Linked DNA regions of Macaca mulatta. The protein of the gene in region 1 interacts with the protein of each later gene in a pairwise test. Links are inferred from orthologs where the notes say so. Each region holds a gene or a part of one and is shown in the gene's direction. Other genes may lie near its edges.

The links.
Region 2: the proteins of AHCYL1 (region 1) and CDKN2C interact in binary tests that used the Homo sapiens proteins (3 or more experiments, as listed by UniProt). The two-hybrid records come from large-scale screens. The link is inferred for Macaca mulatta from reciprocal best matches to the Homo sapiens genes AHCYL1 and CDKN2C.
Region 3: the proteins of AHCYL1 (region 1) and SLC23A1 interact in binary tests that used the Homo sapiens proteins (3 or more experiments, as listed by UniProt). The two-hybrid records come from large-scale screens. The link is inferred for Macaca mulatta from reciprocal best matches to the Homo sapiens genes AHCYL1 and SLC23A1.

Annotation. Positions count from the first base shown.
Region 1 is NC_133406.1:130,177,066-130,180,565, reverse strand, and holds part of AHCYL1 (S-adenosylhomocysteine hydrolase-like protein 1), read left to right. Parts: coding exon 1-77; intron 78-441; coding exon 442-512; intron 513-868; coding exon 869-963; intron 964-1,047; coding exon 1,048-1,146; intron 1,147-1,548; coding exon 1,549-1,617; intron 1,618-2,045; coding exon 2,046-2,124; intron 2,125-3,249; coding exon 3,250-3,370; intron 3,371-3,500. UniProt on the Homo sapiens protein: Multifaceted cellular regulator which coordinates several essential cellular functions including regulation of epithelial HCO3(-) and fluid secretion, mRNA processing and DNA replication.
Region 2 is NC_133406.1:189,694,273-189,698,363, reverse strand, and holds the start of CDKN2C (cyclin-dependent kinase 4 inhibitor C), read left to right. Parts: upstream 1-1,291; 5' UTR 1,292-1,407; coding exon 1,408-1,536; intron 1,537-4,091. UniProt on the Homo sapiens protein: Interacts strongly with CDK6, weakly with CDK4. Inhibits cell growth and proliferation with a correlated dependence on endogenous retinoblastoma protein RB.
Region 3 is NC_133411.1:148,245,512-148,249,646, reverse strand, and holds the start of SLC23A1 (solute carrier family 23 member 1), read left to right. Parts: upstream 1-1,335; 5' UTR 1,336-1,459; coding exon 1,460-1,495; intron 1,496-2,109; coding exon 2,110-2,223; exon of another isoform or gene 2,224-2,304; intron 2,305-2,417; exon of another isoform or gene 2,418-2,623; intron 2,624-2,664; coding exon 2,665-2,822; intron 2,823-3,831; coding exon 3,832-3,920; intron 3,921-4,088; coding exon 4,089-4,135.

The DNA of each region.
Region 1 (3,500 bases):
TGCTGTGCTGCTCTCAAAGCTCTTGGAGCAATTGTCTACATTACCGAAATCGACCCCATCTGTGCTCTGCAGGCTTGGTAAGAACAGACTGATAATACTATTAGATTCACCCTAGGTACTTTATGTTACTGAGAGTTCATAATTGAGTATATTAATCATTTTTGCAGAAATCACCTAGGGGAAGAGAAGGCTAGGACTGCTCTGTTCTTCTCATTCTAACCCTAGGGCTCTCTTAGAGCCTCTTGGCAGTTTTCCTTCCTGGATGGAGTCTTAGGGACTCTGAAGAGGCCAGTGTATATAGTTTAGCACAGCTTATCACTCACCATTCCTGTGAGGTGGCACTGGATCCAACTTTAGAAGGGGATCTTGTCTCATTTCATGACCATCTTCCCTCCCACTGCCTTCTTGCTTTACTCATAATGTTCCTTTCTTTTCTTCTAGCATGGATGGGTTCAGGGTGGTAAAGCTAAATGAAGTCATCCGGCAAGTTGATGTCGTAATAACTTGCACAGGTAAATAACTTGCATAGAGGGGTGTTTATTCAGAGGCTAAATCTTGAAAGTAGTCTTAGTGACTTTCATACAAAGGAGGTGAGACCTCTGTTCAGTATAAAGATCTCAGAACTAGAATAAGCTGTCAGAACCTTAACATGTTTTCCAGAGTAAAAAACTTCTTTCCCTGGTGACTTTTTATACTGCTTGATCTGAAGACCAGGTAGCCTAAGGAGTGGTTATGCATGTCTTCTCTCAGAATGTGTACATGTCCTTTAATGCCAGCAAGCCTCCTGTCTCCTATGTTCTACCAGAAAGCCAACCAGTACCTTTGTTGTCCAGCATCTCTTTCCTTAGCCACTCATCTTTACTTTTAGGAAATAAGAATGTAGTGACACGGGAGCACTTGGATCGCATGAAAAACAGTTGTATCGTATGCAATATGGGCCATTCCAATACGGAAATCGATGTGGTAAGGCTCCTCTCATTTGTTGCTAGGCATTTCTCTACTACCTTTCATTAATAACGATAGTCAACTGTGCTTTCTTCCTTTCAGACCAGCCTCCGCACTCCAGAGCTGACGTGGGAGCGAGTACGTTCTCAGGTGGACCATGTCATCTGGCCAGATGGCAAACGAGTTGTCCTCCTGGCAGAGGTACACACAGAAAAGGACTCTGGCAGAGCAGCACAAGCAGAGTAGTTAGATCCATGGTGGGGGTGGCGGGGGGGAACAAATATTGGGCCTGTGTTTCCCTGAATTTTATCTTTGGAGAGAGAGATATTTCACAAATTATCTGGTCCCCAAAATAAAACCACTTAAAAAAAATCTCATTACTAAGTAACACTATTTCCTAACCACAGCTGATTCTTTAACCTTTCAGACTCAGATGGATTTGCAGAAAATAGGAAAAAGCCTAGAGTCCTGATCTGGAACTGTAATTCTTCCTCTTCCAGCTGAGTCTAGAGGGGTGTAAAGTCTTCTTCCGCTTTGGCTTGACTTGTATGCCATTGGAATCTGAGACAGAGCTCATCCCAGGGCTCTCTCTTACCTTTCCAGGGTCGTCTACTCAATTTGAGCTGCTCCACAGTTCCCACCTTTGTTCTGTCCATCACAGCCACAACACAGGTATGTGGCAAAATGCCTGCTTACATTGCACCGCAATTTGTGGAACTGGGCGTAGATCAGTTCCAGTGAGGGTGTACTGTACTATGTTCTCATCATCCTATTCTTTTTTTATGTAATAAATTGTTGAGACTTAGGTATTCTCAAGTACAGAAAAGAGTCACTAGTCAGTATTTGTTGAATTGGCTGTTTAGTTGAGAATATAATGTTCCAGCTTAGTTTTATTTGAGTTGTTCTTTTGTCAGGAACTAAACAAAAACAACAAATCCTCTTAGGATGTGTGCTGCCCTTTAGTATAGGCAAAGTCTTAGGTGCTGTCACTATGGTAGATCACTGTAGTACTTACCCAAATGCTATTAAACCTGGTTTTATTTTTATGTACCTGTCTAACAATTATTTTTATGTTTTCTGGTCTTCTTTTCCCACCTTAGGCTTTGGCACTGATAGAACTCTATAATGCACCTGAGGGACGATACAAGCAGGATGTATACTTGCTTCCTAAGAAAATGGGTGAGTGAAAAACAGTGGAATCCTATGCAGACAGCTGCATAGTTTGGTAAAATGACTGCCATGAAAGGCATTGGATTTAGAGTCAGAGTTCCAATTCCTGTTCTTGTGCTTACTGGTTGTTTGACCTCAGGACAAGTTCTAATCTCCATGATCCTCAGTTTCTTGATTGGTAAAATGAGAATAATACTACATACATTGTAGAATTGTGTGAGAATCCCAGCTAATGAGTAACAGTGCTTAACACAATGGTTTAGGGTAGATGTTCTTACTCTAAGTAGCCTTATTAAGTTCAGTAAACTTCCTAGTGCAGCTGAGTACATACAGCCTTGGACCAAAATGAAAGAAACACAGGTTTTATTGTCCATTATCTGTGAGGATATGCAAACTATCCAATCTCTTGTAAGCAACCCATGCTGTGTTAAAGTGACATAATACATCATCTGTAGTCCTTTACCTTTCTGCATGGTGGTACCCATCTCCCATATCTCCTTGGCTAGGCCAAATCCCTTACTTCTTAACGCTAAAATACTTCTTGCTGTCCTCTCCTCCAATAGCTTACTTCAGACTTTTTTTTTTTTTTTAAGTGTATAATTATAAAAGGGAAGCTTATCTATGGAAAAGTAATAATTTTGTGCCAACTACCTTGGAAATTCATGATCCTAAGATTTGATCCTAAGATCCATGGATCTTATCCTAAATAAGTGTTATTGACACAGGCTCTTCCTAGCTTACTGGTGTCCACTTTGATTGCTAATTTGACTATAATTTAATCTAGTTAAGGAGGTTGCTGCAGGAAGGTAGGAGTAGCATGTGACATGTTGGCCACTGCAGGGAAGGCCCCTGCTTTGTCACAGAAGGATAGAGAGGTAAAAGCCCACTCCCTTTTGTTACCCTGGTAAGTGGCTTTTCTGAACTCACTTGAGATGTGCTGAGAGAAGCACCCTGCCCAGAAAGGCAGCCTTGAGGTTTTTTTTTATTAAGCAAATATTTCAAGTTGTGGATTCTTTTAGAGTTATTCCATCCCTTGTCTGCTTTCTTAAAAAAGCTTCAAATGAAAATGGGAAATTATAACCTGAGAGACATTTTGAAAAGGAGTGTGCTCTCCTGCCACTTTGCTCTTCCTAGATGAATACGTTGCCAGCTTGCACCTGCCATCATTTGATGCCCACCTTACAGAGCTGACAGATGACCAAGCAAAATATCTGGGACTCAACAAAAATGGGCCATTCAAACCTAATTATTACAGGTAAACCTGGGGAGAAGCAAGTGAAAAGCTCTTTTTCCCAGTATTAAACCAAGCAGGCTAGCCTGTTTCTGACATAAAGATCAAATGTTGTACCAGAGTACAAGAAATCTGTTCCAGGCCAGGCACGGTG
Region 2 (4,091 bases), about 60 Mb from region 1:
CTACAAAAGAAACTGTCACTGGGAGCGGTGTGGCCAGGGAGGAAGCAGTGCTGCCAGGCTCGGCTCCAGGGCACAGCTGGCTGGCGGCTGCCCTGTCCGCAGCAAAGGGGCACAGGCGGCCGGGGACCGCGAGAGGTGGCGAAGTGGCACCGGGCGCCGAAGCTGCTGAGCGCTCGCCGAGACGGCGGCGGGTCTGGCTGCGCCCTGGAACTGTGGCGACTCCCCCTACTCAGAACTTGGCCTGCGTTTCCCAGGACTCTCCCCATCTCCGGAGGCTCCCACAAAACCGGGAAAGGAAGGAAAGGACAGCGGCGGCAGCAGCTCAATGAGTACCTACAACAGAAAGCCTGAACGAGCTCGGTCGTAGGCGGGAAGTTCCCGGGGGTCTGCCCAGTACAGCCGCAATGCTGCCGCGAGCTGCCCCAGCAGTCCGGGCCCCGTAGACGCTTCCCGCATCGCTCTCCTCCTTCCTCAGGCTGCCGGGAGTCCCGGGACCTGGCGGGGCCGGCATGACGGGCTTCTCGGGGGCCCGCCGCACGCCCGGCAGCCTCCGGAGACGCGCGCCGAGCCCGGCTCCCACGGCCTCTGAGGCTCGGCGGGGCTGCGGCTGCCTGGCGGGCGGGCTCTGGAGCTTTCCTGAGCGGCATTAGCCCACGACTTGGCCCGGACGCGACTAAACGCTCTTCTGGAGAAGCCCAGAGTACTGGGCAGTCGTTACGACCTGTAACTTGAGGGCCACGGAACTGCTACTCCCGTTCGCCTTTGGCGATCATCTTTTAACCCCCCGGAGCACGTCAGCATCCAGCCACCGCGGCGCTCTCCCAGCAGCGGAGGACCCAGGACTGTCCCTTCGGCGAGACGGATGGAAACCGAGCCCCCTGGAGGACCTGCCCCTGCAGTTCTGCCTCACACGGCTCAAGTCACCACCGTGAACAAGGGTGGGTGAATGCCTTTTCTTCCCCCCGAATGTCTTTCCTTCCGCGGTATTTTCTGCCCCGATCTATAGTCCCTTGAGTGTCCACACACACTCCTCACAGAGATCTGTAGCGTAGGTACGTGACAGCTCTGCCTACATCTGACGTCCGGAGTCATTACCCAGGAATGTATGTGTGTCTGTGTGTGTCTCTGTGGAGTCGTCAGAATTCTTCATAGGGGTTAAGCTAAAAAAGCGAGGCGAGGAGCCCCTCTCCAATGGCTCAGTTTTGCTGAATAATCACGTGTGAATCGAGGGGCGGGCTTTTGGCAGGCAGATCTTACTAGTATTTACTACCAAGCTCTACTCCAGATTAACCATCCCAGTCCTTCTGTCAGTCTCCGATGCCATCATGCAGCCTGGTTAGGAGCAAAGGAAAGGGAAAAAAGAAAAACGACTAATTCATCTTTTCCTGATCGTCAGGACCCTAAAGAATGGCCGAGCCTTGGGGGAACGAGTTGGCGTCCGCAGCTGCCAGGGGGGACCTAGAGCAACTTACTAGTTTGTTGCAAAATAATGTAAACGTCAATGCACAAAATGGATTTGGAAGGACCGCACTGCAGGTTGGTATTCAGAGAGGTGGGGAAAACAAGTCAATAATGTTGCCTACGTGACCCGGTTTTCTAGATTTACAGCTTTTAAGCTTTCAGGGACATAAAATTTCACTGTTTTTAAACCTAGTTGGTTGCCATATTTTATATCTTTAAGTGGATGCAACTTCTCAAAATGACGTACTTTGAACAAACTCCTCAAATCCAATAACATCCTTGATATCAAGTGGGGTCCAGATTTGGTCTTAGTTTTTGGAATCTTTTTGTGACGGTGGGGATTTTAGAGTAGTCATTGTAGGGCCGAGGTTTGTTTGTTTTGTTTTGTTTTTAAAGACAGCTCTGTAAACACATTATTATGATTATTATTTGAAATACACTGCTATTAGTGGTTTCACGTACTTTGCCCCCAGTAATAGACTTTAACGTTAATTTTCTTGACTACTGGTGAGGGTGTTTTTCCTTCAAATGCTCCAAGTTTTGACAAACGACTTTTCCTCGTTTGGAATGGGTGGCCTGGGCACCGGGACAGGATGTACATTTCACAGTTAATGTAATACCATCCACTCATTCAGGAGTCGGGAGGAATAAAAAGTTGAATTTTCTAATCAGAGCTCAGCTGCAGTGTCTTTGTCTCTACGATTATGCCGTGGTGTGCTCTAATTTTCAGTAATTAGATTTACAGGCAACGATTGACACATGTCCAGCTGCCAAGTATTGTACCTGATAATTTTTTTCTTCTTCTGAATGTTATCATGTAATTTAGGTGAAAGGCTTAGAAACAGAAAAATGACAAAATAGTTTAAAATAGTTAATTTATCAGAGTTCTGATGATATTCTTATGAGCTATTCTTATTTGGAAATGCAACACTTGAAGCTGTTTTTGAAAACCCATTGGGGAGAGGGTTTTTAGAGGGCTTTGTTTCGGTTACAAGAATTAAAAATTTAAGTGCCAGGAGATATACTAGTAACAAACAAAGTCCATGTAGTCTGTACGTTTTCAATCAGAATACACTGGCCTTGCAAAAATTTCAGTATTAAGGAAGTTTATGCACAGATACTAAATTATTTATCTTGTTATTTCTGCTACATTAAGTAATGATTTTTTTTCTTTTTCTACCTAGTAGTTTTGAACAGGTTTAGTGATGATAGCAAAGTAACAAATTTAATATATTGAAAAGCTTCCTTTTGAAAACTCAAAAGATTATATAAACTTCACAAAGAATGAGCTACTTAACCCATGTTCATAATAAGATTTTACAGGATTTTTGACGAACAGAAAGACTGGGAAATTAATAATATTCTTTTAAAAAGTTTTGACAAACATTTTTAATACAACTTTGCAATCTTGTTTATATTAAACATACTTATCAAGATACTAACACCCACTTATTGTGGCTTAGTCCTTGTACATATAACGAAACACACAGAAACTGGAGTTTCAAGGCTTATTTTCATTATGTATAATCCTAACTCTGAAGTTGTGTCATAAGTCAAGAAATAACTTTCTTCAAAACCATTTCCAATATTACTATTATTTTCTGTGAAAAAAGGTGAATTTTATTCTACAATTATGTTTATTTAACTCAATTTCAAAAGCCTTTTCCACCTTCCTAGTGTATATTTTTCTATCAGGTTAATATCAAAGGCCTTAATCGTATGTTTGCTTTACAAAGATCCAAGATATCTGTCTCTTATTTTTCTCATTGCAGGTCCTTAAATATGACTAAATCTTTAGAGACAGTTGTGGTGGTATCAATTTTTAATAACCAAAAGTATGTTTCATTGAAGTTCTTGAAATATAAATTATGTATCACTGTTTACCACTGCTCCAAAGGAAGAGCTAAAAGTCAACAGAGTTTTATCAACAGGGGAGCTTAATATCTTGTCCATCTATATAGTTTGCATTTACAAAATATTACTCATTCTAAATATATTTTATTATTTAATATGTGATTAGATTTTTTAAACATTTAAAAAAGATAGATCGACTTTGTATTTTCCATTAGCATTTAATTTCATAAACATTGAGTGTCTATTATATAAGATATTTATTATAATTTAGATTATTATAATATACCTAAATATAAATAAACCAGTGTAAATGCTGAAAATATGTGGCATGTTAATGAAAGTAATATTTTTTCACAACTAAATTATATGTATTTTATGTTTGCATGATGTTCTACAAGATATTTTATAACAGACCACTGATAGAGTGAAACATATTCAAACAATAGTAAATAATCTTCGTTATGTGAATTATTTGTATGTTGATAGCAAGTGGTAATACCACATTCTGACTTTTAAAATGTTGGCAGTTTACAAATAGCTATTCTTTAAATGCTTGATAGTAACTGAAAAAGGAACTAACACAGGATCACCAGTTGATTATTAAATTAGCTCAAACCACAAGACAAGGCACAAGGCTGTCCGTGTCCCAAAACACCCATTAAATATCTTATTTTTTCTTCTTTTGCTCACTTGAAAATCAGGAGGCTTGTCAGAACTTTGAGAAACAGCATATAATGTAATAGGGTGACTATTTCATTATTTTCAAGAACAGTTGT
Region 3 (4,135 bases), on another chromosome or scaffold:
GATCTGGGACCTTGTTCTCCACCTTGTTCTTTATGTGTATTGTGTGGTTTGGGTTGAATTGAGTGTCCATGGACCCCTGTCTGCAAGGGGTGGGGCTTGGTATCCACAGCCCCCTGGGGAGTTCTGGGAGGAGGGGGTGGAGAGGAAAGTGCTGGGGAGTTGCAGAGGCTTCAAACTGGTCCAGCAACTTGGGAAATTGGGAGTAGGAGCCAAGAGGGAGAGGAGAGGACAAGTGGATGGACAGAGGAACAGTGTGGACACCGGCAGGCAGGCGGACTCAGTGCTGTGGCATGAACCTGCTGTCCAGTTGGAGAGCGGTGCTGCCCCTTGGCCCTGCGGGCAGGGCCTGGCCATGGGCACAGCCACCCAGAAGTAGGTAGGCCCTAGAGTGCTGGGGCTGGGGCAGCCCAGAGGGAACAGAATGGGGACCTCAGGCCTAGCCCTCACCAGCTGAGGAGCCTGAGCTCTTAGGGCCCCTCCCCATGTCCCCCCTGCCATCCTCAGGCCCTGCTGGGCTGGGCCTGCCAGGAGGGGAGAGAGTTTGGGCATAGGACTGCCTTCCTGGGCTGGGTGATGGGCAGTCACACCGGGCTTGGTGTATAGAAAGGCCCCATGCTCCATCTGATGCTCTTGCTATCTTTAAATTCTTTATACTTTTGGAATAAAGGCCTCACATTCTCACTTTGCACTGGGTCCCACAAATTATGTGACTGGGAGGGAAAGGGATCTGTGTCCTGACACAGGGTGCAGGCCAGGCTGGGCCAGCCTAGGCAGCTCCATCTGCAGAGGCCCATCTGCTGCCTGCCTCAGGGACCCTGAGGGGTGCAGGTGGTGGGGGCAAGGCAGGTCAGACCAACCTGAATTTTAGGATTGGTTTCTGCAACCTTGCTATCTGCATGGCTTGGGTCAAATCACATCTACTGAATCTGTTTCCTTTGCTGTTAAAGGGGTTAATACTGCCCAGCACAGGGGTTACTTGAGACAGTGCAAATCCATGTTTCTTGGCACAAGGCCATTCCTTAATAACGAGAATGACTATGATGATGATTATAATGATGAACTGGTTATTAATAAATGGGGAAGGGCCTCATACAGGGGGTTACATAATAAGTGCCTGTTTCCACTCCCTCTTTCTCCCCTCACCTGGGGCTTGGTAAACTTCTGGTCCTCACCCCCTCGACTCTGGCCCTCTCTTGGGAAACAAGAACAGGTCCAGCACCCAGGTGCAGATGTGGGCAGGGAAGGGCACATGTGGCAGAGGCTTAGGTGGCTTTTACTGCCCTAGTGAGAGTTAATACATTACCTCTGCCCAGGCCCCCCTTTCGCAATCCGGAGCTGGGCATCTGGTTACAGATTTACTTCGAACAATGCCTGATATGTGGAGTAAAGTCCTCCTCCTTGGCCTTTGTAAAGTCCTCCCCTCTTCTCCTCAGGAACTGCTCAAACCTGTGCCCCAAAGATGAGGGCCCACGAGGACCCCGAGGGCCCAACACAGGTGCTGGGGGCTGGGGGTGGGGGCTAGGTGGGGGCGGGGGGCGGTGGGGGGCTGGAGGGCCTGTGCAGGCCTTCTCCCGGGAGGCCAGAGATAAACATTCTGATGAACTTGATAAAGAGTGACTGTCCTAAACTGAATGTGGCAACTGGGGGATGGGTGGGGGTGGGGGTCAAGAAGCCTGCAGCTTTGGGACTGGCTGACTCTAGGTTGGGGTTCAGGAGAGGCCTAACCTCCCCGCCAGTGACACCCCAAAGATCTCCAGGGGGCAGAGGTGGGACCGGATTGGACTTGTCCACAGTCTCGAGCCCTCTTGGCCCCCTCTCCTGTGGTCCCCAGACCTCTGACTTAGGGGTCCATTTCCCTGGCTAAAATGACAGGTCCTGAGGGCTCTAGAAGCCGGCACAAAAGACTCATCCCTGTGGGAAGCAATGTGAAGTGGGAGACAACTGTGGCCAGGCCGAGTGGGAACCGGGTGGATGAACTGTTGGGGAGGGCAGGGACCCCACTCTCAGTTGCTGACAGGCCACTCGGGCTGCCTGATTGTTTTCGGGGCAGAATGGATTTTGCCTGTCCCCATCACTCCACCCTAAGCTACTTATCTCTGCTGCCCCTAGCATGAATCCCCCAGGGACCCTCCGACCCCCCTACCCACAGAGCCTAAGTTTGACATGTTGTACAAGATCGAGGACGTGCCGCCTTGGTACCTGTGCATCCTGCTGGGCTTCCAGGTGGGTCCCCCAGGGCCTCCCTGCCCTCACTCTGCACACTCCGCGGTGACTCCAGCCTGTCCCTGGCCAGCAGGGAGTATCCTGGGTAACAAGAAGAAAAACCTGAGGTCAGCACATGGCTGTCAGCAGGCAGGGGTGGGGAAGAGACTGAGTCCTGAAAGAGGAGGAACTCCCTGGGGGCGTGTGACACTTGCCAGGTGGAGTGTTGGTGACAGGGTGCAGAGCCAACTCCATGGAAGCCACAGGAATAACTTGGGTGGAAATTAGTGACCCCCAGAGTGGTCAGCAGTAGCTCTCTGGGAATCCCTTGTGGGGACTGCCTCTCCTGGGCAGGCAGCCAGGTCAAGGCCTGCTGAGGCAGGCATGAGGACACTAGGCTGTCCCCTCTCCCTGGAGCTCTAGGGTCCTGCCTCATGCACTCTGCTCTCTCCCTCCGCCCAGCACTACCTGACATGCTTCAGTGGCACCATCGCCGTGCCCTTCCTGCTGGCTGAGGCGCTGTGTGTGGGCCACGACCAGCACATGGTTAGTCAGCTCATCGGCACCATCTTCACATGCGTGGGCATCACCACTCTCATCCAGACCACCCTGGGCATCCGGTGAGCGGCCCAGTTCCCCCTCCCCCCCCACTGTGATCCACACAGCAGGAGCAGGTGGGCTCCCAGAGGACACCGGTGAGACAAAAAAGCCACTATCTGCCTCCAACTGCTTCTCCTATCCCAGGCCAGCCTTAGAGCTGGGCAGCACAGCCCTGACCCTGGGAACCTTGATCTAGGCACACTCAAAAACCAAGCATCTGCAAGTTTAAGGGAAGGGAATTAAGGGAAGGGAATGTACCCTCGCTGGCTCTCCCCATTTTTTTTTTTTTTTTTTTTTTTTTTTTTTTGGAGACAGAGTTTCACTCTTGTTGCCTAGGCTGGAGTGCAGTGGCATAATCTTGGCTCACCACAACCTCCACCTCCTAGGTTCAAGCGATTCTTCTACCTCAGCCTCCCGAGTAACTGGGATTACAGGCACGCACCACCACGCCTGGCTAATTTTGCATTTGTATCCACCCGCCTTGGCCTTCCAAAGTGCTGGGATTACAGGCGTGAACCACCAAGCCTGGCCAGCTCTCCGCTCTTAAGCCGCATTCTGAATACTGCCCAAATGGCAGCCCTGAGCTGGCTCCCAGGGCCGGTGCCAGCCTCTTCAACAGCCCACCCTCCCAGGGCCCCACGCTCCCGAGTGCACAGCCCTAGGCCTGGGTGGCATTTGAGCTGTTTGAGCGGTGGCGGGCAGGGGAAGATTGTGAGAGAAATCTGGATGTGGGAACTGAGCTGTCCACTTCCGGGCAGGTGGTCCCTCCTAACAGTGCAGGACCTGGTGATGGGAAGGAAAGGGGGCAGATTTTGAGTTGGGGGCTCCATTTGTTTTCTTCCTTGGGCAGCCAAAATGTTACAGTTGGTCTTCCCTGGGGCCTCAGCGACTTTCATCTGCCCTTATTCCTCGTGTCTCTGTCATTCTCTCTGTGCTCTCCTTTCCTGATCTCTCCCCATGTCTATATCCCTCCTCCCCCCCCATCTATATCCTTCCTCCCCACCCTGTTGCTCTGTGCCTCTCCTTCAGGCTGCCGCTGTTTCAGGCCAGTGCCTTTGCATTTCTGGTTCCAGCCAAAGCCATACTGGCTCTGGAGAGATGGAAATGCCCCTCGGAAGGTGGGTACACTTCTGGGGTCCACACTGGGGAAAAGGGAAGGCCCAGAGACCTGGAGGTCTGAGCAACTGTCCCGGGTCCAGACACCAGGGTGCAGTCATGGCAGCATCTTCTCTCCCTCTCTTGTCTCTGTACCTGGTCCATGTGTGTGTCCCTGACTCTACCCCCAGAGGAGATCTACGGTAACTGGAGTCTGCCCCTGAATACCTCTCACATC